7 linked regions of the Callithrix jacchus genome follow. The protein of the gene in region 6 purifies or fractionates together with the protein of the main gene of each other region. This does not show direct contact. Links are inferred from orthologs where the notes say so. Each region holds a gene or a part of one and is shown on either strand. Other genes may lie near its edges. The genes, in order: TRIM21, ITCH, BAG6, IFIH1, NLRP3, MAVS and EIF2AK2.

Evidence for each region.
Region 1: the proteins of MAVS (region 6) and TRIM21 purify together in Homo sapiens (affinity purification with western blotting; 3 studies listed by BioGRID). This does not show direct contact. The link is inferred for Callithrix jacchus from reciprocal best matches to the Homo sapiens genes MAVS and TRIM21.
Region 2: the proteins of MAVS (region 6) and ITCH purify together in Homo sapiens (affinity purification with western blotting; 3 studies listed by BioGRID). This does not show direct contact. The link is inferred for Callithrix jacchus from reciprocal best matches to the Homo sapiens genes MAVS and ITCH.
Region 3: the proteins of MAVS (region 6) and BAG6 purify together in Homo sapiens (affinity purification with western blotting; 3 studies listed by BioGRID and IntAct, with this or other methods). This does not show direct contact. The link is inferred for Callithrix jacchus from reciprocal best matches to the Homo sapiens genes MAVS and BAG6.
Region 4: the proteins of MAVS (region 6) and IFIH1 purify together in Homo sapiens (affinity purification with western blotting; 12 studies listed by BioGRID and IntAct, with this or other methods). This does not show direct contact. The link is inferred for Callithrix jacchus from reciprocal best matches to the Homo sapiens genes MAVS and IFIH1.
Region 5: the proteins of MAVS (region 6) and NLRP3 purify together in Homo sapiens (affinity purification with western blotting; 4 studies listed by BioGRID and IntAct, with this or other methods). This does not show direct contact. The link is inferred for Callithrix jacchus from reciprocal best matches to the Homo sapiens genes MAVS and NLRP3.
Region 7: the proteins of MAVS (region 6) and EIF2AK2 purify together in Homo sapiens (affinity purification with western blotting; 3 studies listed by BioGRID and IntAct, with this or other methods). This does not show direct contact. The link is inferred for Callithrix jacchus from reciprocal best matches to the Homo sapiens genes MAVS and EIF2AK2.

What each region holds. Positions count from the first base shown.
Region 1 is NC_133511.1:69,716,676-69,720,870, forward strand, and holds the start of TRIM21 (E3 ubiquitin-protein ligase TRIM21), read right to left. Parts: upstream 2,801-4,195; 5' UTR 2,731-2,800; intron 423-2,730; 5' UTR 346-422; intron 1-345. UniProt on the Homo sapiens protein: E3 ubiquitin-protein ligase whose activity is dependent on E2 enzymes, UBE2D1, UBE2D2, UBE2E1 and UBE2E2.
Region 2 is NC_133506.1:4,798,831-4,802,552, forward strand, and holds the end of ITCH (E3 ubiquitin-protein ligase Itchy homolog), read right to left. Parts: intron 3,281-3,722; coding exon 3,181-3,280; 3' UTR 501-3,180; downstream 1-500. UniProt on the Homo sapiens protein: Acts as an Acts as an E3 ubiquitin-protein ligase which accepts ubiquitin from an E2 ubiquitin-conjugating enzyme in the form of a thioester and then directly transfers the ubiquitin to targeted substrates.
Region 3 is NC_133505.1:39,148,493-39,151,992, forward strand, and holds part of BAG6 (large proline-rich protein BAG6), read right to left. Parts: intron 2,811-3,500; coding exon 2,693-2,810; intron 2,579-2,692; coding exon 2,382-2,578; intron 2,148-2,381; coding exon 2,094-2,147; intron 1,935-2,093; coding exon 1,860-1,934; intron 454-1,859; coding exon 215-453; intron 1-214. UniProt on the Homo sapiens protein: ATP-independent molecular chaperone preventing the aggregation of misfolded and hydrophobic patches-containing proteins.
Region 4 is NC_133507.1:67,420,615-67,424,114, forward strand, and holds the end of IFIH1 (interferon-induced helicase C domain-containing protein 1), read left to right. Parts: intron 1-1,931; coding exon 1,932-2,122; intron 2,123-2,634; coding exon 2,635-2,725; intron 2,726-2,824; coding exon 2,825-3,004; 3' UTR 3,005-3,125; downstream 3,126-3,500.
Region 5 is NC_133520.1:38,227,679-38,230,628, forward strand, and holds the end of NLRP3 (NACHT, LRR and PYD domains-containing protein 3), read right to left. Parts: intron 1,187-2,950; coding exon 1,087-1,186; 3' UTR 501-1,086; downstream 1-500. UniProt on the Homo sapiens protein: Sensor component of the NLRP3 inflammasome, which mediates inflammasome activation in response to defects in membrane integrity, leading to secretion of inflammatory cytokines IL1B and IL18 and pyroptosis.
Region 6 is NC_133506.1:11,368,896-11,372,977, forward strand, and holds the start of MAVS (mitochondrial antiviral-signaling protein), read left to right. Parts: upstream 1-1,282; 5' UTR 1,283-1,590; intron 1,591-1,967; exon of another isoform or gene 1,968-2,095; intron 2,096-4,082.
Region 7 is NC_133515.1:77,846,150-77,849,649, reverse strand, and holds part of EIF2AK2 (interferon-induced, double-stranded RNA-activated protein kinase), read right to left. Parts: intron 2,372-3,500; coding exon 2,242-2,371; intron 1,505-2,241; coding exon 1,428-1,504; intron 1,288-1,427; coding exon 1,194-1,287; intron 269-1,193; coding exon 234-268; intron 1-233.

The sequences.
Region 1 (4,195 bases), on a different chromosome or scaffold from region 6:
CCACAAGCATAGGCAACCGAAGCAAAATTGGACAAATAGGATCACATCAAATTGAAAACCTGCTGCACAGCAAAGAAAATAATCCACAAAGTGAAGAGACAACCCACAGAATGGGAGTAAATATTTGCAAACTATCCATTTGACAAGGGATTAATAATCAGAATATGTAAGGAGCTCAAACAACTCTATAGGAAAAAAATGTAATAATCTGGTTCAAAAATGGACAAAAGATCTGAATAGACATTTCTCAAAAGACATACAAATGACAAACAGGCATATGAACAGTTGCTCAACATCACTGATTATCAGTAAAATGCAAATCAAAACTACAATGAGATATCTCACCTCAGTTAAAATGTCTTTTATCCAACAGGCTATAACAAATGCTGGTGAGGGTGTGGAGAAAAGGGAACCCTCATAAGCTGTTGGTGGAAATGTAAATTAGTACGATCACTACAGAGAACAGTTTGGAGGTTCTTCAAAAAACTGAAAATAGAGTTACCATATGATCCAGCAATCCCACTGCTAGGTATATACCCCTAAGAAAGGAAATCACTGTATCAAAGTGATATCTGCACACTCATGTTTATTGCAGTATGTTTCACAATAGCCAAGATTTGGTGGCAACCTAAGTGTCCATCAACAGATACATAGATAAATAAAATGTGGTACATATACAAAATGGAGTACTATTCAGCCATAAAATATGAGATCCTGTCATTTACAACAACATGAATGGAACTGGAGGTCACTACATTAAGTGGAATAAGCCAGGCACAGAAAGACAAACATTGTATGTTCTCATTTGTAGGCGCTAAAAATCAAAACAATTGAACTCATGGAGTTAGATAATAGAAAGATGGTTACCAGAGGCTGGGAAGAATAGTAGGGAGGATGTGTTGGGGGAAAAGTAGGATGGTTAATGGGTACAAAAATGGAGTGAATTAGATCTAGTATTTGATAGCATAACAGGTGGCGATAGTCAATAATTTAATTGTACATTTGAAAGAGTATAATTGCATAGTTTATCACAGATGATCAATGCTTAAGGTGCTAGATGCCCCATTTATCCTGATGTGGTTATTACACATTGTATACTTATATCAAAATATTCCATGTAGCCTATAAATATACCTACTATGTGCCCAGAAAAATTAAAACTAGAGAAAGAAAAACAAAATGATGCAAAGGAAAATAAAAAAATAAAAATGGTGGCTCTGTATACCTGTATCAAAATGTTCCATGTAGCCCATAAATATACCTACTACATGCCCAGAAAAATTAAAACTAAAAAAAGAAAAACAAAATGATGAAACGGAAAATAAAAAAATAAAAATGGTGGCTCACGCCTGTAATCCCAGCACTCTGGGAGGTCGAGGTGGGTGGATCACCTGAGGTCAGGAGTTTGAGACCAGCCTGACCAACATGGTGAAACTCTGTCTCTACTAAAAATACAAAAAATAGTTGGGAGTGGTAGTGGGTGCCTGTAATCCCAGCTACTCAGGAGGCTGAGGCAGGAGAATTGCTTGAACCTGGGAGGTGGAGGTTGCAGTGAGCTGAGTTGGTGCCACTGCACTCCAGCACAGGCAACAGAGGGAGACTCCATCTCCAAAAAAAAAAAAAAAAGGGCATAATATTAATGGAAAAATAATTAATGGCAAAAACAGTATTACTTTTGCATGGACCAAATAGTTTGTTTAATAAGTTTATTCTTCTGAATAACAAGAACTCCTCCACTGTTTGGCCCATTGATCCACTGGGACAGAAGGAGAAACTGAGTCCCTAAAGGAGGGAGTGAAAATTGGCAAGAACCTCATAAAGCTGACAGTTCTCTCATGTCCATTCCTGCTTAAACCCTCAGTGCCCATTCATCTTCTTTCTGGTACCAGCAGGCCTCCATGTTGCTGAGAAACTAGTCATAAAATAGCTACTTTTAACCATGTACCTTCCATGTGCCAGAGATACTACACATGCTTTGAATACATCTTCATTAATCATTCCAATATTGGCAAAAGTCAGGTGTATATGTATGTACATGAGCATGTATATGTGAATGTATTCACACAGAGCAACAGGAACTGTGGCCAGCACTCCCTGGGCTCTTCTTTCAGCTGCTCCAAACTTAGTTTAGTTCCTGACATCACTTCTTCTATGACAAAGAGTAATTTTGAAGGCCTATACATTTCTGGTTGAACATCCTAAGCAGCCTGCCCCTCACCTCTGGAGGACTTTTGGACCTGGGAGTCTCCAGGATTGCAGATCTCCCCCACGCTCCTGGCTAGGCAGTAGTGCTGGCTCTCTCAGCTGCACCCAGCTCTCATCCCAGCTCAGGTGCCAGCAATGGGGCAGCCAGGCCCCTTCTCTTTCTGGGTAACTCCATAGTCACGTCCACACCCCAGCCTCCTCCCAAGTAGGGGGCAGCCGGAACCCTTCCCCTTCTGGGTAACTCCGCAGTCACGTCCCACACCCCAGTCTCCTCCCAAGTGCCCGGAACCCTACCCCTTCTGGGTAACTCCGCAGCAGTCATGTCCATACCCCAGCCTCCTTCCAGGTTAGGAGACCAGCCTCGGAAGCACAGAGGGGCTTGGATTGAGGGATCCCCGGTGGGAGAAGGGGCAAATGGGACCGGCTCAAGGATGGAGACTGGTTGGAAGGGGCTCTGCAGCCCTGGGGCAGGGGAGAGGTCCACTAGGAGGGCAGGGGTTCCTTGATTTAGTGAGGTTCACTCACCTTTACAGGGGACTCAACGCGGGTAGCCAGCTCCCTATTTCACTTTCAGTTTCCGCTCAGAGGCAAGTCTGACGGGAAAGGGGAGGGAGGAGGAGCCGTGAGAGGAGAGAGGGAGGAGCCGTGGGAGGAGCGGAGCCTTGAAAGGGTGTGTGGAGAAATGCCGCTGAGAAGGAAGAGAGGTGGGAGGAGAGAAGTCAGAGTTGGGCTGGCGGGGGGCTTCAGAGGCTCTGGACAGCCAGGGGGCTTCTATGAGACTGGGAAGTAATGGAAGCCCAGTAGCCTGTGGTCCTGGGTGCGCACCCCCTCCCATGTCTTCATTATCTGATTTAGTAAAATATCTGCAAGATGGGGGAGTCCGGGCTGCTTTCTTTGACACTGGTTATCACCCCACACCTAGATGCTTTGCCCATGTCTGGAAGCTGCTTTTAAGGAGGGTTGGATGCAGAGAATAGTGGCTGGTGCTCTCCCTCACGTGCCGTCATCTGTTTCTTACTTCCAGAAGCTAATTCTTTTCATGTGACTGATGTGACTATTATTTTTTTAACATCTGCAGGTGAGTGATTTATTTCGCATGACCCCGAGGTAAGTATCCCACCAGTGAGTGGTGAGAAGGGAATTGACATCTGATAACCAACTATGTTCTTATCACCGAGCTAGGGACATTCTCAGGTTATATTAATTTTTAATCGTTAAATACACAGAATATAAAATTTACCCAAGTAATTTTGTTTTAAATTTTAAATTTTCTGTGTCTGTGGTAGATGTATGTATTTATGGGCTACATGAGATATTTTGATGCACAGGTATAGCATACGGTCTGTAATAATCACATCAGGGTAAGTGGGGGTATCCATCACCTCAAGAATTTATCACTTCTTTGTGTTACAAACAATCCAATTATATGTTTTTTAATTATTTTAAAATGTATGATAAATTGTCTGTAGTCACCCTGTTATGCTATAAAATACTAGATCTTATTCATTCTATCTCATGTATTTTGAACCCATTAATCACCCCCCTACACACTCCTGGCTACCCTTCCCAGCTTTTGGTAACCATCATTCTGCTATCTTCATGAGTTCAATTGTTCTAATTTTTAGCTCCACTTATTAGTGAGAATGTACAATTGGTTGTTTGCCTGTGTTTGGTTTATTTTATTTAACATAATGACCCCTATTTTTCATCCATGTTGTAGCAAATGAAAGGTTCTCCTTTTTATGGCTAATCAGTACTCCATTGTGTATGTGTACCACACTTTCCTTACCCATTTGTCTATTTTTTTTTTAATTTTTTATTGGATTATAGGTTTTGGGGTACATGAGCAGAGCATGCAAGACAGTTGCGTAGGTACACACATGGCAGTGTGCTTTGCTTTCCTTCTCCCCTTCACCCACATTTGGCATTTCTCCCCAGGCTATCCCTCCCCACCTCCCCCTCCCACTGACCCTCCCCTTTCCCCCCCAAT
Region 2 (3,722 bases), about 6.6 Mb from region 6:
AACCCTGATTAACATTTCAGATTATTAACCAGATAAGTAAAAAGTGGTAGAGCGGGCTTGATTGAAATAGTTCGTTTAGGATGAGAACTTTGTGTATAGTTGAACATGTTTCACTAAAATTTCTAGTCATTGGTATGTCAATCTCTTGATGAAAAATCAGTACCTGAATATGTCTTTTTGTTGCTTTAAGAGACAGGGTCTCGCTATGTTGCCCAGGTTGGATTTGAACTTCTGGACTCAAGCGATCCTCCCACCTCAGCCTCCCAAGTACAATACCTGAATTTTAAATAGAGTTATTGTAAGTTTTATGAAATGAGGTTCTTCTGTACTCTGACATAATAAAAGACAGAGCAGGAATTCATTATTATGAGCTGTTTGATCAGTTTTAAACCACTCCATTTGATCAAAAAAGTGAGGTCCTTCCCTCCTGACCAGGCTGTGGAATGCTGTCTTCCCCAACCCCTGCCCCCTGCAAAAGAGCAGAAGAATAAGGCAATTGCTCATTTTACTTTGTTTTTATTTCAATGTAACATGCAGTAAAAAAAAATAATAATAATTAACAGGATTTATTAGCATTTACAATGCTTACAAAGAGAAAGAATTCTAAAAGCAATTTAGTTCAGATTTAAGAAAAAGGTCTACGTAAATACTTACAATAAATCTATTTCCATATGTTCAGTTTGGACCAAAATTTAAGATAGCATTTGGTAGATATTTATGTCTGCTATCTATTTGCAGTATTTTTATATAACCTCTGATTCTTGGGATATCCAGCCCCCATTTTCCTAACACAGCAGGGAAGACATATACATGTGGCCACTTAAATTAAAGGGAAAAATGGAGTAGGGAGATCCCAGGCTGCAAAAATATATACAAGCATTTACCTTTTCCAGAACTAAACACTTCTTCCATAAAAATATTAAATAGCCAAGCCCTATAGAACTAGGGCCAGGGCTACTTCAAATATAACTATTCTGTATTTTAAAAATATAGGGCAGAAAGCCTTTTGGGTGATATTTATATATTTTCACACAATATTTCTAGGTCCCTAAATGAATCATGAAGCATTATATAGAACAAAAAAAAAATCTATTTTCTTACATTATCTCTTAATTTAATCTCATAAATCTCTAGTAAATATTGTAGATAACTACATTTCAGTATGAGAATTCACCTCAACAGGAAGTCTTTATAGAGGGCTTAATCTTCATTAGCCATATATTACGAAGTTCAGACTTATATAATGAACGGGTAGTTGGCAGACATTCGCTCTGTAAGACAAAGCAATAGCATTTTCCCCCCCTACCAACAAAAAGGCAGAGTCCCTACTTTTAACAACTAGGGCTACTGGAAACCACACAGTATTTCCTGGGGTACATGAAATAAAAAAAAACCACAGGGCTGGGGAGAGCCTAGTCTCCCAATTTACACTGAGTTTCTTTGATGAGGCAACCTTTTCACTCATGTAAGTCTCTGCTTTATGATGGCAGTGTCTTGGAGTACAGATAGCCAAGTTAAAAAAAAAAAGTTTTTATTGTTGTTCCAGGATGTAAAAAGGAAGAGCATTAGGGCCAAAAAAAATATTTTTTTCCATATGGAACAGGGTTCTGCTGCTTGTTCTTGGCTTAATATTACTTGTTCATGCTATGCCTCTCAAACATGGCAAAGTCCCTTATACATGAGCTATGAGGCTGTCCTCACAGTACAGCTATAATAGGGACTCAGCTGGCTTAGGCTTCATTCCACTGCTCATAAAGTCCAATTTATAACAGCCATCTTGACAGTCTAAGCTAGGCCAATTTAAAAGAATTAACTCCAGAGAACTTCAAAGTACATTAATCAGTTAGTAATGGAGCAATCTAAACTTAAAATAGTCATGAGAAAAAAAGAAAACCCTGCTAAAAATTTTAAGGGTAAAAAGAATATTGCAGATGAGGGATATCAAACCATTTCAGGACAATGTAAAGAATGGAAATGACTACTCCAACATATGTCAGAGAAATGATAAATTTGAAGACTTTTAATTCACAGAGAATATATTCTTGTAGTTACTGGACGTTATCTTCCTTTCTTTTTAGCCCATACCACAGCTCTCCCTCTCAAATGAAAATTTGATGTCAGAAGCTATTTCATTGACCTCTATTTGGACTAGAAAGCACTCTTGTCTTTCTAGTCTTAAACTCCTTAACAATAATTAAATATAAACTGAAGTTGTTGGATTATGATAAAATTATAAAGCATCAGTTATGTAGAACATATAAAAATCACCAGTGATGTCCTTAGATGAATTCAATTAAATTAATTCTAATTCTAGGTTAACTTTTTTCCCATTTATTTTTCCCCCCAAAAGAGACAGGGTCTCCCTATGTGGCCCAGGCTGGTCCTGAACTCCTGTCCTCAAGGGATCCTTCTGCCTCAGCCTCCCAAGGTGCTAGGATTCCACGCCTGGCCCTAGGTTAACTTAAAACAACAACGAAGGAATCACAGTGTTAATATTGTTCGTAAAGTGTAGTATTTGCCAGGCAACTAAAACAATCAAACTTCCAAATGAAATTATTTAGAGGCTGTGACCAACTTTTCCCTGAATTCAAATTGACAAAACTACTTTGTAGAGAGATGCAGTAGTTTTGCATCACTTCCAGGAATGATGTATGGATTCATGCTCCAGAAAGGAAAGACAATAGTCAAGTCAGACTAAAATGAGGAGAACACAAGCCAAAATTTTGCTCACATCCCCAGAAGCTGGGGTAAGTTTGCACTTTTAACAAATGCCTCATCCCAAGAGGCTTAATAGGAAGATCTTGTATATTGCAGTTACCAAAGGACTTCCCTGCTTATCTCCAGAATTTGTAAAAGAAAAAAACCTACTCCCAAGTGAAACTTTTGACCTATATACAAAATTGTTAAGGGAACAAACTAGTGGAATAAGACAAGGCAGATTTCATTGCTGTGTTAAAATTTCATGTTAAGCAAAGTTTTGACTAGTCATTTGCAGACCTGATTTCTGGAAATGGTGAGTAGAAATCACTGGGTGATAAATTTTAATGATAACATTAATTTACTTACACTCAGATAACTCTCTAAAGAGCCACAGTCCAATTTTACAAGATGTGCAACAGGCAGAGAAGAACAAACATTGCAAACAAGTTCTTGCCCATTCACGATGCAAGTTCTCAGAAGTTACTCTTGTCCAAATCCTTCTGTTTCTTCTATGGCAAACAACAGCTTTTCTTTCAGTTGCTCATAGCTCTTGTATGGTGGCAGGTCCAGGCGATTAAAACTAAAAGCAAGAATTGTTAGTTTGAGAAAAGGAAATATGCAAAGAATCAAATGAGTAGTGTAGTATAACACCACTCCTATAGAAGCACAAAAATAAACTACTGTGCTTCAAAGGATACCGTCACGAAAGTGAAATAACTCAAAAATGGAAAAAAATATTTATAAATCATATATCTGATAAAGAACTGCTATCTAAAATATATAAAAAACTTAGAATTCAACAATATTTAAAAATGGGTAAAGGATACATTTCTCCAAAGGAGATATACAAATGACCAATAAACACATGAAAACAATGCTCAACATCCTTAGTCATTAGGTAAATGCAAATAAGATACACTTCACACCTACTGGGATGGCTATTATTTAAAACAACAACAACAAAAAGAAGAAAACAAGAGTTGAAAAGGATGTGAGGATGTGGAGAAATCAGAGCTTTTCTG
Region 3 (3,500 bases), on a different chromosome or scaffold from region 6:
TTTGGATTTCCTTGCCACAGGGAGAGCAGTTCTTGTCAGCTGCCTCTCCTAGCATCATTTACTTATACTGAGATATACCCTCCTCGACTCTCAATGCTAACCCTCCAACTAAGACCTCCAAACAATCCTTTCCTTCCTTTACAATGGTTGATTTTCTTCTCCCCACACTTCACTCAGGATTCCCCACCCCCTAAAGATTCCCTCCATCTCTTACTTGGGTGCATTTGTCTCTGGGGCAGGTGTTGGGCCCGCTGGGGCTGGGCCAGAAGGGGTGAGCTCTGGGTTTTGGGCTGGGGTGTGCTCTTCCACTTCTTCTGCCTCCATGGGCTCCCGAGGAGGTGCTTCACTTTCAGCTGGTTCTGATGTTTGAGAGCTCAAGGCTACTGGCTCCGGGGTCACAGTTGGTGGCTGCGGGGGTGGCTGGCTGTGCTGCGGTTGGGAACCCCCTCGACACTGAAGGTGGGGAAGAGTCAGGATACCAAAAGGCAGGATGAGACTGCTGCAGAGGATTACTCTGCAGGAGACTGAATAGAGAAAGTGTCCTAACTAGGCTCCCTGAAGGCAGGGCTCTGCAATTGTATATCTGACTTTCTAGCAACTAGCATAAGACTAACATAAATTAGATGAATAAGCATCTGTAATTTTTTTTTTTTTTTTGAGACAGAGTCTCACTCTGTCATCCAGGCTGGAATGCAGTGGCATGATTTCAGCTCACTGCAATCTCCACCTCCCAGATTCAAGCAATCCAGGACTATAAGCACATGCAACCACAACCAGCAAATTTTTGTACTTTTAGTAGAGACAGGGTTTCGCAATGTTGGCCAGACTTGTCTGGAACTCCTGACTGCAGGTTGTCCACTTGCCATGGCCTCCCAAGGTGCTGGGATTACAGGCAGAAACCACCACGCCTGCCCATAGCATCTGTAATATTTGTCAACAGATTTCTAACAAAGAGTAGAGATTGTGGTTTCCTGACCTTCACTAGTTAAGAGTGTGGAATCCTTTTTTTTTTTTTTTTCCCTGAGATGGAGTCTCACTCTCTCACCCAGGTTCAAGTGCTATGATCTCGGCTTGCTGCAACCTCTGCTCCCGAGTTTAAGCGATTCTCCTACCTCAGCCTCCCAAGTAACTGAGACCACAGGCATGCAGCACATGCCACCACACCCAGCTAATTTTTGTATTTTTAGTAGAGATGGGGTTTCACCATATTGGCCAGGCTGGTCTCACTGACCTCCGCCTGCCTTGACCTCCCAAAGTGCTGGGATTACAGGCTTGAGCCCCCACGCCAGGCCAAATGTGGAATCCTTTAATTGAAAAGAGATCCCAGCCAGGCGCGGTGGCTCATGCCTATAATCCCAGCACTTTAGGAGGCCGAGGCGGGTGGATCACAAGGTCAAGAGATCAAGACCATCCTGGTCAACAAGGTGAAACCCCGTCTCTACTAAAAATACAAAAATTAGCTGGGCATGGTGGTGCACGCCTGTAGTCCCAGCTACTCGGGAGGCTGAGGCAGGAGAATTGCTTGAACCCAGGAGGCAGGGGTTGCAGTGAGCCAAGATCGTGCCATTGCACTCCAGTCTGGGTAACAACAGCGAAACTCCGTCTGAAAAAAAAAAAGAGATCCCATGAGACAAATCTGAAACAAACTCCCCAGATACCAGGCACCAGGCACCAAGAGGACTGGTAGAAATGAGAGCAGCTCACAAAGATACGTTTTTCTGTCCAAAAGAATGAATACTGCAAAGAAGTCTAGATTACGAAGGCCAAACCCTGTGAATGTGGCCAGTTATGCCCCAACCCCCAGGCTGAGAGAAAAGGGGGAAGGTGGGGAGAGACTCTAGCCAGCCTTGCCCACTTACCTCCATCCGGGATAGTAAGGTCTGTATATCCCTGATCATGTGCTGAGCCATCACCAGCCGTACCCGGGGCTCACTCTACAATGAGAGAAGAGTGATCAGGGTAGGTTACAGATGAAGCCATGAATTCTACCACCTACTAAATCAGGTCCCAGCCATCTTTCAACCAGGTCTACCCCACCTCCCAGCCTCCTTCTCCCAGATCCCCTTCCCTGACCCTCCAAGGCCCCTCAATACCTGAATCGGGGCCTGTTCCATGTTGATGTGAACATCCACAGCAGAGCCGTCACTCTGGGGAAAGGGTAAGGGAAGTTGTTCTGGGAGAAGCCAATACTAAGGCCTCCACTCTTCCGATTCATTCCCTGGAGCCCCGCTCTCTTTTCTCCTTAAACACTGACACCAATAGCATACCACAGGGCCCCCTGAACCCAACCTAAAGATGGAAGCATCTATCTTATTAATACCCTGCTGCTACCACAACCAAAGCTACCCACAAAGACCCTCCCCTGTGGAACATAAGCTTACAGGAAGATTGAAGGTTCCAACCATGACATAGCTGTTGGCATTCCGGTCATGAACAGAGGCCCCAGGCCCCCGAGTACCAGGCGGGGGTCCCCCACCATGAGTGGCTGAGGCAGACCCCGTCCCAGAAGATGCCCCAGAAGGGAGCTGAGTCTGAGGAGGAGCCCGTTCCACCAGGTGGATAACCTTTCCCCCAACATCTGCAGAAAAATAGACACACACCAAAACATAGTATGAACAGGTAAACCCGTGGCCTCAACTCAACACTCCAGATAGCAGTCTCAACGTCTCAACTGCCTCCCCAGTCGCCTTACTATATTCCTGGAGCTTCTTATCATCTTGCAGAACTCGTCCCTGGTAAATGAGCCGTTGTTTTTCAGATGGGATGCTGACAGAGGCAGCAATGTGCTCCTTAAACTCTTTCACATTCATCTGCAAGGAAGAGAAGGTATGCACAGGAATGGAAAGAATAGAGGAAAGAGGAAGAACAGAGACGGACAACTGACAGAATCACCACCCATTTGTCTTGACTGTGAGGTAATCACCGTGCAAACCCTTAAACTGAAGTAACAGCTGTCAAAATATAGACAATAAACTTGGCTGGGTGCAGTGGCTCACACCTGTATTCCCAACACTTTGAGAAGCCAAGGTCAGGCAGATCACCTGAGGTCAGGAGTTCCAGACCAGCCTAACATGATGAAATCCTGTCTCTACTAAAAATACAAAAATAATTAGCTAGGTGTGGTAGTGGGCACCTGTAATCCCAGCTACTAGGGAGGCTGAGGCAAGAGAATCATTTTAACCAGGGAGGCAGAGGTTGCTGAGATTGTGCCATTGTACTCCAGCCCAGGCAACAGAGTGAGACTCCATCTCAAAAAATTAAATAAATAAATTTAATGAAGCTCAGGTTATATATAGGTCCATGAAAAATAACATGGATGAGAAACAAAACAAAAAAAACATCTGGACATTACATTCTCTGCCTGGCTCCCACGGGAATGTGTGTCTGAAACATCAGTGACCCCTTTCCAAACACAAAATGATACCAGGAGTTTATTTATCAGACTCTCCTATAATTCCCAAGATTAAAAAATGGCAAAGAAGATGGGGTCTGGAATCAGG
Region 4 (3,500 bases), on a different chromosome or scaffold from region 6:
TCCAGGGAAAAATATTTCAATATATTATTTTGCTATTAATTACATAGGAAATTAATCTTGGTACTTGTCTGGTTAATCTATTATATAGACTCCAAGCTTGCTTGCAAGGGTTTAATCTCTTTTCTATGCTATATATGGCTGCCTTGAAGGGAGATCTAAAATGTAGAGTTGGGAGCCAAAGAGATGGGCTTTGTTCATCAGCACTGATGACTTACTTTTCTGAAAACTTCCCCCTCAGTCTTAAAGAAAATAGTTACTTCCACAATTATTTAATATAAATATATCATCTATGAGAAGTCAGTTTGGAGGTAAATTATTCAAGAACCAGATTTTTTACTGTAAAGTTGGGTTGTTATAAACACTGTCAGCCCCTATGTCCCTATGTCAAGTTTCATATGTTAAATAAACTAGATTGTTTCTATTATGAAATAAGTGCTGCTGCTACTCACAGAGCCTAGAATAAAGGTGTCTATGGACATATTCTCTCACATAAGGAATCTAGGCAGTGTTGGCTCCATGATGTTATGAGGAATCCAGGTTTTTGTTTGTTTGTCTCTTTGAGATGAAGTCTCGCTCTGTCGCCAGGCTGGAGTGCAGCGGTGCTATCTCGGCTCACTGAAACCTCCGCCTGCCAGATTCAAGTGATTCTCCTGCCTCAGCCTCCTGAATGGCTGGGATTACAGGCACGTGCCACTACACCCAGCTAATTTTTGTATTTTTAGTAAAGAAGGGGTTTTACCATGTTGGCCAGGATGGTCTCGATCTCTTGACCTCATGAACTACTGGTCTCGGCCTCCCAAAGTGCAGGAATGCAGGCCTTTTCTCTCTCTTTTATGCCATTATAGCATTGGGCTTTCATTCTCAAGGTCAAAGATAGCTTTTAGAATTTCAGCTGCCACATCTTTATTCTAGGCAGGAAGTAAGAAGAAAATGGAAAGGACAAAAAGTACACATGCCAGCTATCAAACTTTTAAGAAGATTTTCTGAAAATTCCACTCAACAGCTTTTTACTTGTCATTGACTGCTGGTTTGGAAATGTAGTCATTTAGCTAGCATATTCCACCCAGAATAAAATTATGGTTCTGTTCCTAGGAAAAATGGATACTGAGTGCGAAACTAGCAATTTCTGCCACAAATGTGTAAAGAGTAGACTGATTAAGATGGTGAAGGGTTTGAAAATTATAAAGCATGAAAAAAGATTAAAGGAATTTGGATGCTTAGCATGGATTAGAGAAGATGTTCATAATGTAATAACAGTGTTTAGTAAAGAGATTCCATGCGGAAGAAAGTTTAGACCTATTTTATGGAACAGAATTAAAACAAAAGGGTAGGATGGGCACAGTGGCTTGTGCCTGTAATCACAGCACTTTGAAAGGCTGAGACAGTTGAATCACTGAGATCAAAAGTTTGAGACCAACCTAGGCAACATGGCACAACTTCATCTCTACTAAAAATATGAAAATTAGCTGGGTGTGGTGGCGGGCGACTGTAATCCTAGATACTCAGGAGGCTGAGGCAGAAGAATTGCTTGCACCCAGGAGATGGAGGTTTCAGTGAGCTGAGATAGTGTGACTGCACTCCAGCCTGGGCAACAGAGCAAGACTCCATCTTAAATAAATAAATCAACAAATAAATCAAATAAAATAAATAGGTAGGCTAGACAGAGAATTTTTGTTGAGTATTGCTAAGGACTTTCTCACAATAGAATTTCTGAAATGGAATGGGCTACTTTTTGAACACCTGAAGGTTCCACATTTTCATGGTTACAGTAGATGATTGTATACTAAATTCTTTGGGGGATCATTACCTCATTATTTTTATCTCGTAGACCATGAGCTAAGTATGTATTTTAAGTTTCAAGTGACTTACTTCTATGAAACTGAAAAAAGAAAACAAACCTAAAACCACTAACTCTTCCTTTCTCTGTGCAGATTTTGGAATTACAGATGCAAAGTATAATGGAAAAGAAAATGAAAATCAAGAGAAGTACTGCCAAGCATTACAAGGAAAACCCATCACTAATAACTCTCCTTTGCAGAAACTGCAGTGTCCTAGCCTGTTCTGGGGAAGACATCCATGTAATTGAGAAGATGCATCATGTCAATGTGACACCAGCATTCAAGTGAGTCCAGAAAGAACCATTTTAAAATTTTTCTACCAGGGGTGAAGCAGGTTGTATTGTAAATGTTCTTTCAAAATAGTGCAACTGAGATTTTACAACTTTCCATCCTTTAGCCCCTCAATTATATTCCTATTTCAAATGTCTATTTTTTAAGTAAACTGCACTGCAGCAGGAAAGGAGAAGTGTACGAACCAAAGCCATTTTGATCCAAGGCACGTATTTTTGTATGCTCATCATTTGTTCTCAAATTTCTGAACAACTAAAGTCAAGTTAATATAACCAACAAACTTGAAAGAAGTTACAATAGGTAACTTGCCCTTTGAGAGATATATGTAGAAGAGAAAGATTACCTGAGTTGCCATAACAAGCCTGGGAAGCAGAAGGGAAGGAAGGAATGCCATGTAGAATAACGCATGCATGTGGATGAGGTTCAGGTCCAACAACCCATGAACAAAAACCCCATTGGTATTTTGTCAGTTGTGATGATTTTTCTTCCCCTTTGATACTTATAGGGAACTCTACATTGTGAGAGAAAACAAAGCACTGCAAAAGAAGTTTGCCGACTACCAAATCAATGGTGAAATTATCTGCAAATGTGGCCAGGTGAGTCAGTTGTTGTGGACCTGATTTTACTTTAGCCCAAAGGAATGTTTAATTGCATATGCATTTAATTTTCCTCTTGTTTTCTCTTTTATTTTCCAGGCTTGGGGAACAATGATGGTCCACAAAGGCTTAGATTTGCCTTGTCTCTTAATAAGAAATTTTGTAGTGGATTTCAAAAATAGTTCTACAAAGGAACAATACAAAAGGTGGATTGAATTACCCATCACATTTCCAGATCTTGACTATGCTGAACACTGTTTATTTAGTGATGAGGATTAGCACTTGATTCAAGATTCTTTTTAAATACTATCAATTAAACATTTAATATGATTTTGATTAATGTATTAATTATGCTACAGAGCTGATATAAGAATCAATAAAATGATTGTTTTACTCTGGATCGAGCTCTTTTTAGGAACATATTATCCATTATCCATTTTCCATCTTGTTGGTGGGCAGGGGTAAGGAAAATTTACCAATAATTCTCATTAGTGTGGAGCATTGTAGTCCTGTGGAAAGAATCATGGAGTACAAATGAGAATTCAAGGTATGATGGAGTACAGATGAGAATTCAAGGTACCAATCTCAGGTCTGTCACTTATTGTCAGAATAAAATTAGGCAAATCATTTGATCTTTCTGAACCAGTCTCCTTATCGATGAAATGGTCATAATATTCTCTGCTTTTTCTTTTTATTGATTTTTTATTGCTGTATAACAAATTGCCACAAATTTAGTGGCTTAAAACAACACTCATTAATTATAACGCATGTCCTG
Region 5 (2,950 bases), on a different chromosome or scaffold from region 6:
TTTACAATCTTATTCAAGTTCCGTACAGCTACAGCTCCTAGACCACAACTTGAGTAGCCAAGTGTGGCTACTTTGATGGTTAATTGTATACTATTTCCATCCTGAGCGATTCCATGCGGTTCAAGAGTTGTCCATGTGTAGAGAGGCAATTAGTAAATATTTCCTTATAACTTAATGCTCTGTGAAGTATGATAGATGAACCGTTCCTCAGATGGGATAAATCCAAAATGAGTTGTTATCAAATGAAGGCAAGATGCATCTTCTGCCTAATACTTCTGGTTATGAGTGCAGGCTCCAAAACCCTGAAACCTTTCCCTCTATGACTTTCAAGCTCTTATCCTAGCAAAGCTGAAATTCCACTCATTACAATTAGTGTGAGGTAATTTTTTAAAAATTATCTACAATTGAATCATTTGCCAAAGCGATTTTTAAAATGCACAAAGCAATTTAATTTATCTTAAGTGGTTTAAATAAATAATTTTTAAAATGTCTAGGCACTCTTTTTTGAAATTAAGAAAAGGCAACAATTTAATTCAATAAATACAAAAAAGTTTTACATATTCCTGAATTTTCAACTAGCTACAAAAAGCATGAATTATTCTTATTAGAAAACATAACTATTACAAAAAATTTTTAAATAAATAAGTAGCTGCCACAAAATTTCAACATAATATATAGTCAATTAGTTCTGTGTTATGGTCAGTTAATAGAAAGATAGCAGGAATGATTATATGAGCAAAAATAGATCAAAGAAGAAAAAAAGATAGGAAAAAGAAAGTTAGAGACAGTGAGGAGAGGAAAATAAAGACAAAGAAAATGTTTTATTGAATGAGCTAATTACATAAGGTCGCCAAGAGGAACATCCTCTAATTAAGGTGCTGTGATGAGAACATCCGGAAGCTTCCATCACCCTCGTGTCTTCCTCACCCGGGCATAAAGGAGATGCCCGTTCTCTACACAGAGGCGTCATCAGCAAGCTCTCTTCTCCAACACCCCCCTGGAAGGATTTTTGGGCTGGATGGACTGCAGCACCCAAGGAGTGGAGGGGCCAGAGAACACTGGCGTCTGGCAGCCCTGCTTCTGCCCCTACCAAGAGGGCTCAAAGACAATGGTCAGCTCAGGCTTTTCTTCTTGAAGTGTTTCTAATGCACGTTTTGTCTCATAATTGAAAAACATTTCACACAACCTGTAAAAGCAAACAGAAAGCCTGGGTTGCACTCTTCAGATAAGTCTCTCAGAGTCGTTAACCTTAAAAGTCTCATCTCTTCATTTCCCTGAACACACACCTCTAAACTCTAAAATGTTAAACAAAAAAACAAAAACAGAACAGAAGCTCTCAGTGCCCAAGGTGGTTTCTGTTATATTTTTAACTATCTAGTAAAAAAAATTTATCTAGTTGGAAAAATTTTAAGAATATGTAAAAGTAGACAATACAGTATAACAAACCCCCTGTGTCCGTTACCCAAGTTCAACAATGACACAGGTCATGTCAACCTGTTTCCTCTAATACCCACCCACTCCTCCCACCATGGATTATTTTAAATAGTGCAGTTAACACATGTATAAATAATTCACTCTGTGACACTAAAACAGGATCACAATATCACCATCACATCAAAACTGTTTAATAGTAATTTCCTAGTGTCACTGTATGTCCAGCCAGCATTTATACTTCCTCAACTGTCTTGTAATTTTTTTTACGTTACGTTCATTTAGTCACAAACCCGATCAAGTCTACACATTGCATCTGCCCAGGATGCCGCTCACGTTTCTTTGATGAAAGTTCCTTCTCTTCTTTAATACAAAGTCTCCCTTGAAACTTAACTATTGAATCAGCCCATTTGTCCCGCATCATTGCTGAGCATCTCAATTTGGTTGTGTTGTATACCAAATGTTTTCCTCCTTAACAACTCCCATGATGAAGCCGAAACGCTAACGTGATGGTACTGAAAGGTGGGGCCTTCGGGAGGGAGGGAGGGAGGCAGATGAAGCTGTGAGGGCGAGGCCCTTACAGGGGCAGCTTCAGAGAGTTTGTTCTTTCTCCCCCGTCTTCTCTCCCTCGCCTCCCCTCCCGCCATGCGATCACACAGCAAGAAGGTAGCCATGTAAGCCAGGAAGAGGACTCTCATCAGCAACCAAATTCACCAGAGACTTGATTTTGGACTTTGCAGCCTCCAGAACTGTGAGAAAATAACTTTCTGTGTTTGAGTCACACCGTCTATAGCAGCTTGTCATGGCAGCCTGAGAAAACAGATTGATGGCATTCATGGGTTCTTCAGCCTATTTTGAGCCTGACCCTTGGCCTGGGTCCTGAACGTCCCTCAGGGCTAGGTCAGTGACTCTGTATGAAGCAATGTCCCCAGCTTTGGCCTGAGCAATCCCTCTTTTTTTCCTCTATCTCTCTTCGCTCTGGGAATGTGGGCTTGTCCGGCAGCAAACATGCCCCATTATGTCTACACGAGGATGCAAAGCTGATTCAAACTTTTATTTATTCAGACCTGCATTCCAACAGGCTCTCAGCCTTGAGATCTTGAATATGGACCAAAGTCCCTGGACTAAAGGAATTTATATCTTGGGAGCACAGATCATAAATAAATGAGAAAATGACAGAGCACATAAGATGTGCAACACTACAGGGGAGAATGAGAAGATAAAAGAAAGGACATGTTGGGCTTCCATTTTCAGTAAGAGAGTCAGAGACAGCCTCACAGAGACCTTTAGGCAGACAATTTAGGAATGTGTGGAGGATAAGGCACATGGAATTGAAGGGGAGAAAGTTCCAAGCAGGAAGAAAAGCAAGTGCAAAAATCCAGAGATGAAAGTGTTCTTGCAAACCAGCAAGGGGACCCCTATATGGGGGTAGAATGAGGAAGGGCCAGGAGAAGACGAATCTTCGGAAGCAGTGGGGGCCAGATTACGTGGGCCACGGAAGCCACCATGAGTTTGTGGC
Region 6 (4,082 bases):
TCGTTTTGTCTGTTTTTGAACTTTATATGACTGGAAGCAGACAGAATGTGCTCTTTAGTGTTTGGTTCCATTCACTAAGCACTATTTAGCTGCTGGTGCCCACTCAACTGTGGGAAGATCCTCCTATGTCTGTGTGTCAATAGTTTGTTCATTTTCACTGTGGTATACTATTCCATAGTGTGATTACACCATAGTTTGTCTTTCTGTTTTCCTGCTGATGACCATTTGCGTTTTCGGATTTTGCCTATCATGAATAAGTCAGTACAAACATTATCTAGGTGTATGTTTCTAGGTAGATATATACCCAGGGGCGAAATTGCTGGGTCATAGGATTAGCATACGTTTAACTTCAGTAACAACTGTCATTTTTCCAAATCTCTTTTTTCTTTTAAGATGAGGTTTCACCATGATGGCCAGGCAGGTCTTGAACTCCTGACCTCAGGTGATCCACCCACCTCAGCCTCCCAAAGTGCTAGGATTACAGGCGTGAGCCACCGCGCCCGGCTCCAAATCTCTTAAACTCTTTTTAAAACAGGAAGAATAAACCTACTCTACCTGATTATCGTGAGCGTATTTAATGAACTCTAAAGAATAAGGTTTTAAGCCTTGTGCCTGGAAGACAGTAGGTGCTCAATAAGTGCTGGCCTCTGCCCCAGCAGGGGAAAGGCGAGGCAGAAGGCAGGAACTGCGGGAGGTACCCGCCCCATACCGTTGGGCGGAAGAGGCCTCTCCCACGCAGCACTTAAGTCACCCCCAGCCTGCCCGTCAGCCAGTTTGGCGTGCCTGCCTTGGGCCTACCCACCCTGCATTCCGTCGCCCGCTCCCGTTCCCACAGGCCCGGCGTGCGCGTCTCCTGCCTAGGCATCCTTGCCCCTGTGACTTCAGCGTCTCCCAGCGTTTGCTGGACACTAACTGTATGCCAGGCCATGAGGCTGCAGGAGAGAACGACACGAAGATCCTCGCCCCTCAAAGCTCCCGGCAGGAGGAGGGGCTGCTTCACTTGAGAAGCGTGGGGATGGAATTCTCAGCCCGCCAATGACTCGGAGGCCGGCCGCCCGCCTGGTTTCTGGCCGGACACTGGACTTCCCCTGGAAGTTGCTCGAGACGAACAAGGGAAGAAAACAATCCGCTCTCCCGCGCCCCCAGCAGGAAATCAGGTCGATCCTCCGAGCCTAGTCCTGTGTGTCCCCGACCCGCAAACCAAGGCCCAGCGCCCGCCCCCGCCTCTCCGTCCCTGAGCCTCCAGCCAATCACGCGCGGCCGGGAAGCCCCGCACCCTCCTGTTGGCCAATGGCCGCGCGGCCTGCCTGCCCCGTCCCGTCGCTGCGGGGAGGGTCGTAGGCCCCGCGCGGCTGTCGCCAGGTCGCAGGGCCGGGGCTACCCGAGGTAAGATCGCCGCTGGGGCCCTTGGTCCTCTCTGCTCAGTACACACGGACGCCTTTAGGGAAGGTGGCTGCAGCGGAATGACCGCGTCAGCCGGGGCGCCCTGGGTCTGGGGCGCTCGGGGTTCGGGAAGAGCCGGCCCTGAGGCGCACGGGGTTCGGGGACACTGAGGGCTCCAGGCGCCGCATCCAGCACCGGGGAAAAGGGGTAGGTGGCGCTGGGCGTCTGCTCTGTCTGGGGGAAAGGTAGAGCCGGAAGGGCACGGGCAGTGGCCGCTGACCTCCTGCTGCCCGCAGGCCCAGGGTGACTCTAAGGGGGGGCCGAATCTCGACGGGCCGCGCCTTGGGCTCGAGTACTGCCGCCCTCCCCTGGGTGTGGACAGTTCTCGGCGGCGACACCAGCTCAGAAGAGCTTCCCGGCGCTCCGCGGACCTGGGTCTCGCCCAGGAATCCGATCCGAGGCTGTGAGGCCTGTCCCTTTCGGGAGGGTGGGTATTTATTTCCGGGACGCACTCAGAGCCTCTGGACAGTCAGGTCGGAAACTTTGCTGCATCGAGAACACTCTGTCACCTCCTTCCTTCTCAGATGGGAGAGGTGCCAGGAAAACAATGAAACAAACCAAAACAACGAAGAAGGCATTCTCTGTATGGAAGTCGTGAAGCCTCAAAACTATCTAGGAGGACAGCCAACGACTTGGGACCTGTGGCCGCAATGTGAGGGCAGGGTTAATGTCTGATCTAAATGTTGCTTCCTCCCAAGTGCACCCTCAGCCTCTCCCCACAAGTGACCTTGGGCCCTCTTTGGGCTTGAAGGCAGGTGGCTCTGTGGGCCTCACTTGCTGCAGGGGTCTCTGTGCCCTGCAAGGTGTATGACCAGCTGCAGTGAGGTAGGAGATTCTGGGTTCAAATCCTGTGCTAGCCTCTGGCCAATTGTGCACCTTGGCATCACTTCCCCTGTCACGGGACTGGGGAAGGATTAACTAAAAGAACCTTAGGATGTGCTTGTCTACAGTTGGCCCTCAATAAATGTGAACAGACGTGGGCTTCCTTTCCTTTTGGTTGGGCTACATCATCCCCTCCCCTCCATGTGTGTTGTAGGGGCTGAGGCTAGAGTGCCTCATCTGATTGCCTCCTGGTACCTGGCTGATGCCATGAGAAAGGAAGAAGAAACAGTGTTTTGTTTTTTTTTTTTAATGGAGTCTCACTCTGTTGCCCAGGCTGTAGTGTGATAGCCTGATCTCAGCTCACTGCAACCTCTGCCTCCCAGGTTCTAGAGATTCTCATGCCTCAGCCTCCCAAGTAGCTGGGAGTACAGGTGTCTGATGCCATGCCTGGCTAATTTTTGTATTTTTAGTAAAGACCGGGTTTTACCATGTTGGCCAGGCTGGTCTCAAACTCCTTACCTCAAGTGATCTGCCTGCCTTGGCCTCCCAAAGTGCTGGGATTACAGGCATGAGCCACCATGCTTGGCCAAGAAAGGGGTCTATTAACTGTCACAGAGTTGGTTTTTGCTCTTTTTTTTTTTTTTGAGACGGAGTCTTGCCCTGTCCCCAGCTGGAGTGCAGTGCATGATCTTGGCTCACTGCAACCTCCACTTCCCGGGTTCAAGTGATTCTCCTGCCTCGGCCTCCCAAAATGCTGGGATTATAGGTGTGAGCCACCATGCCCAGCACTTTGCTCATTTCTTGAAGGCTCAGAGCCTGACCCTCCTGAACTGTCCTTTGCACTTGGCCCACAAGGAATGCAGCAGTGCCTGGTGGTTGGCAAAGCAAGTTGTGCATGTGAGACTCTGAGGCCTGTGACAAGACTGTTTCCCCTGTGAGTGGGGTTTGGTGGCCCAGCAGCTTTCAGGTGCTGTCTGCTCCGCAGCACTGCCTCCTAGAGGTCTCATGCTTGCCTGATGCCCACTTGGTCCTCTTCTGCCTCCTTCCCTCCCTGACAGCCCACTAGGAATCCAATAGCATCTCAAGCTTCACTGTTCAAAACTGAGTTCTGGAGTTCCTTCTGAGCCACTCCTCCTCCCCTGGCTTCTCTGCTCTGGTAAATGGGCACCTGCCATCTACCCAGTGCCTAAGGAGTCATCCTTGATTTTTTTCTCTCCCTTATCTCCTACACCCTCAAAACACCAGAAATCTGGCTGCCTCCTGCCAACTCTGTAGTTTCCATCCTGGCCATAATCATCCTGTCTCCTCGGCTGTGGCCTCCTGACTGGTCTCCCAGTTTTCATCCTGGCCCCTCCACAGTTCTCACAATTGTCAGAGAAGTCTTTAATGTAAATCAGATCCTCTTCTTTCCCTGCCAGAACCTTCCAATTGGTCCCTGTTTCACTCCAACTAAAACCCAGAGTCCTTTCCTACAGCACCCTACGTGAGTGGTCCCTTTTACCTCCTTGACCTTCATCTTGCCCCTCTCCCTAGCTTTCTTAACCTTGACCACACTGACCTGCTTTCTATTCTTCAAACATGCCAAGTTCATCCCACTTTAGGACTTTTGCATTTACCATGCCCTCTGCCAAAAACACCAATCTTCTCAGAGCCTTAGAACGGCTCAGCTGTGTTCTTAACACTAGTTCAGAAAGGCTTCTTTGACCCCCTAGTTCAAGTAGCATGCCTGTCTCCAGGGGATGTGTCTCTTTACCTGCTTTATTTTCTTTAGAACCTTTATTGCTATCTGGAATTCTTATTTGGGTAAGAATTTACTG
Region 7 (3,500 bases), on a different chromosome or scaffold from region 6:
ACCTAATTACTCTAGCAACACCCCCATAGGGCTTTATGTCTATGGTGTAGTATGCACATACATTCAAATATTTCTTGACACAACTAAAATTATTTGTTTATAGATTTCAAGCTGTCTGCTTCTGAAACTCCACTCAAATAAGGGTATACATTACTCTACAAGTATTAAAAACAATAAGTAAGTCTGAAATAAAACTTCACTTCAAAATATGTTCAATGCATAATGATACTCACCTTTTTACCTTCCTCTGATTATTTCTGAGACCATTCTATAACAAAAGAAAGTGAGAAATAGTTTCAGATAACTAAATCGATCATCTTCCTTTCTCCTGTATTTCTAGATGGCTCTGTGACTAATTCCTTAGTCCATCCATGTCTATATTCTCTTCAACCTCTGTACAAACACTTAGCATTGTAAGACTTAATTTTTTGCCAATCTAACGAGTTTAAAATAGTATCTACTTGTCTTGATTTACATTTTCCTGATTCCTAGTAAAGTATCTTTTAATATTTGTTGCCCATTGGGTATCTCTTCTCTGAACTATCTGTTTATAAGCTTTGTATATTTTTCTACTGAGTTGCTTGCCTTTTTCTTACTGATTTGTAGTTCTTTATAACAGAATCCTCTCGTAACACTAATCATCAAAAGCATAGATTTTGCTCTAACTTCAGCATTGCCTCATTATGTGCACAAAAAAATTATCTGATTTTTTTTTTTTTTTTTGAGATGGAGTCTCACTATGTTGCCTAGGCTGGTCCTGAACTCCTGGGCTAAAGCAATCCTCCCACCTTGGCCTCACAAGTGGCTGCAGACTACAGGCATGTACCACTGCACCAGGCTAAAAAATTATCTGATTTCGAGTTTACTTTTAATGTTGTTTAATTCTAATTTTTAAAAACAAACAAAACTATATTAGTAAATCTTTAAATATTATCCCATTGGTGGGAGAAAAAAGCAAGATCATAGGAATATATTAAAATATAAGGGTGAGTGAGGAAAAACAGGCAACATGTGAATGAATGAGGAATGGAACTTAATTTTAAAGAGTCAAAGGGCTGCTGAATATTATCATTTAATAAGAGTGCATAAGATAAAAATATAAAAATTATGATGGAATACTGGAAGTTATTTTTAAATAAGGAAACACACAGAAAAATAAGATTAAGTAGGAAGCTTCAAGACTAATACAATACCATAGACAATGAAGAACAATTGTTTAAACTATTGTTAAAATTTATCTCTGATGTATCTGCTGAGAAACTACTTTCAGGTGATGATTCAGAAGCCCTAGAAGAAAAGGATATAACTATTAGTTTACCATTTTTTATCACTGATTCTTTCTCTAAATTCTCCTTAAACATTAAATATTTTTATAAAAATTTCTTTCAGATGGCAATTAAATATCTTAATTGTTTGTCTACACTTACAATGTGCTGGTCACTAAAGGGTTGTTTTGGATGTCACGCACAGGAGTAAAAGAAACAGAGGATGTGGAGTCAGCTTTCTGAAAGAAAGAGTGCCCATTAGTAGGCTTAAATGCAACTAATTATTTCTCTACAGAGGCTCAGTGTCTGTATACTATCACAGTTACTTTGACACATTAGCAAATTCACAACCATAAACAATTACAATATTAATAACATTTTTAACGGATGTTTAGTCTGGATTTTATTTTATTTTTTATTTTACTTTTCTGGATCACAGGGCAGATAATTTTTGTTTGTTTGTTTGTTTTTGAGACAGGATTTGGCTCTGTCATTCAGGTTGAAGTACAGTGGCACCATGTTGGTTCACTGCAACCTCCACCTCCCAGGCTCAGGCGATCCTCCCATCTTAGCTTCCCGAGGACAGTAGTCTCAGCTGAAACTACAGGTGCATCGCACCACACCTGTCTAATTTTTTTTTTTTTTTTTTTTTTTTGTAGAGACATGGTTTTGGTCTCAAACTCCTGAGCTCAGGAGATCCACCAGCCTTGGCCTTCCAAAGTGCTAAGATTACAGGTGTGAGCCACCGCGCCTGGCCTGGTCTGGATTTTAAAAACCACCCTGAGTTACCCACAGAATTTTTATCCCTCTGAGGCCTCATGGCCCCATGGCACATGGTTCATTGGTGTGACACAGAATGGAGGAATCATTTTGCTAAATCACTGGATGTCTTGGCATAATGTAAACACAGTCTAACCTCAAGTCAACTTCAGACGGAATTTTAAACACAAAATTTTAATCCAAAGGCAGTACGTACCACTGAGGTTTCTTCTGATTTATGTATCTGAAGATATGCAAGTTTAGCAGCCAATTGTTTTGCTTCCTGTTTAGTAGAACCTGTACCAATACCATATTCTTTCTGCCCCACTTTGCATTTATAATGAAATCTAGGAGAAATCATGGAAGGTACTTATACAAACATGAAAAATATAGTAAATCCAACGTATGACTAAAAAGTCCATAGTAACAGAGATCTTAAGATAACACTAATTTATTAGATAGATTTATATTTCATATCTTGCATAATTTAAACCTTCAGTAACATGCCTGACCAATGTCTCTGAATAACCAGGATCAGCTGATATCTGAGCTTGCATTTTCCAGGCAATTTCTAATCTTTTGTTTTTTTTTTTTGCTTAAAGATCTGGCACAAAGGCACTAAGTAGTGATTTTTTTCTTTAATTCCCCAAAGGTCAAAAGGTATGGAGGTAGAAATAAAAGAGATCCAGTAGAGGATCTTTTTTTCAGAGGTGCTCAAATGGGAAAGAAAAAACCAGTAGAGAAAATGAGGCTTCCACAGGAGAAGCTATGAGGTTACAGTGCTGCGGCTTTGTAGGGAAAGAGCAAAGCATGGATTCTGCTCTAACTTCAACACTGTCTGCCATCTGCTTATGTGCACAAAAATTGAGAAAATCCCCACAGTGGGCCAGGCGCAGTGGCTCACGCCTGTAATCCCAGCACTTTGGGAGGCCAAGGTGGGTGAATCACGAGGTCAGGAGTTCAAGACTAGCCTGGCCAATATTATGAAACCCCATCTCTACTAAATATATAAAAAACTGGCTGGGCGTGGTGGCGTGAGCCTTTATTCCCAGCTACTCAGGAGGCTGAGGCAGGAGAATCGCTTGAACCTGGGAGGTGGAGGTTGCAGTGAGCCAAGATTGCACCACTGCACTCCAGCCTGGGTGACAGAGCAAGACTTCATCTCAAAAAAGAAAAGAGAAAATCCCCACCTTGCAGATGCCCGATACTAAAGTCCACACTCTCCTCCTATTAGAGGCAACAACATTTGTGGCTAGGCAAGGACACTTGGACAATTACATAAGAACTATTTTTCAGGGATAAAACAATGGACATGGCAATTTACATCATGGAGTTACTATATATTACTGCAAAATTATTCCGGTATTTGAACTCTTTTTCCTTTGTGTTTCCGCTGGAGGCCATCGAGAGAAACACATTCAAACAGGGTGAGTCTTCCCTGCTAGATCCTCAATTAAATAGCTGGGATGAGTGACT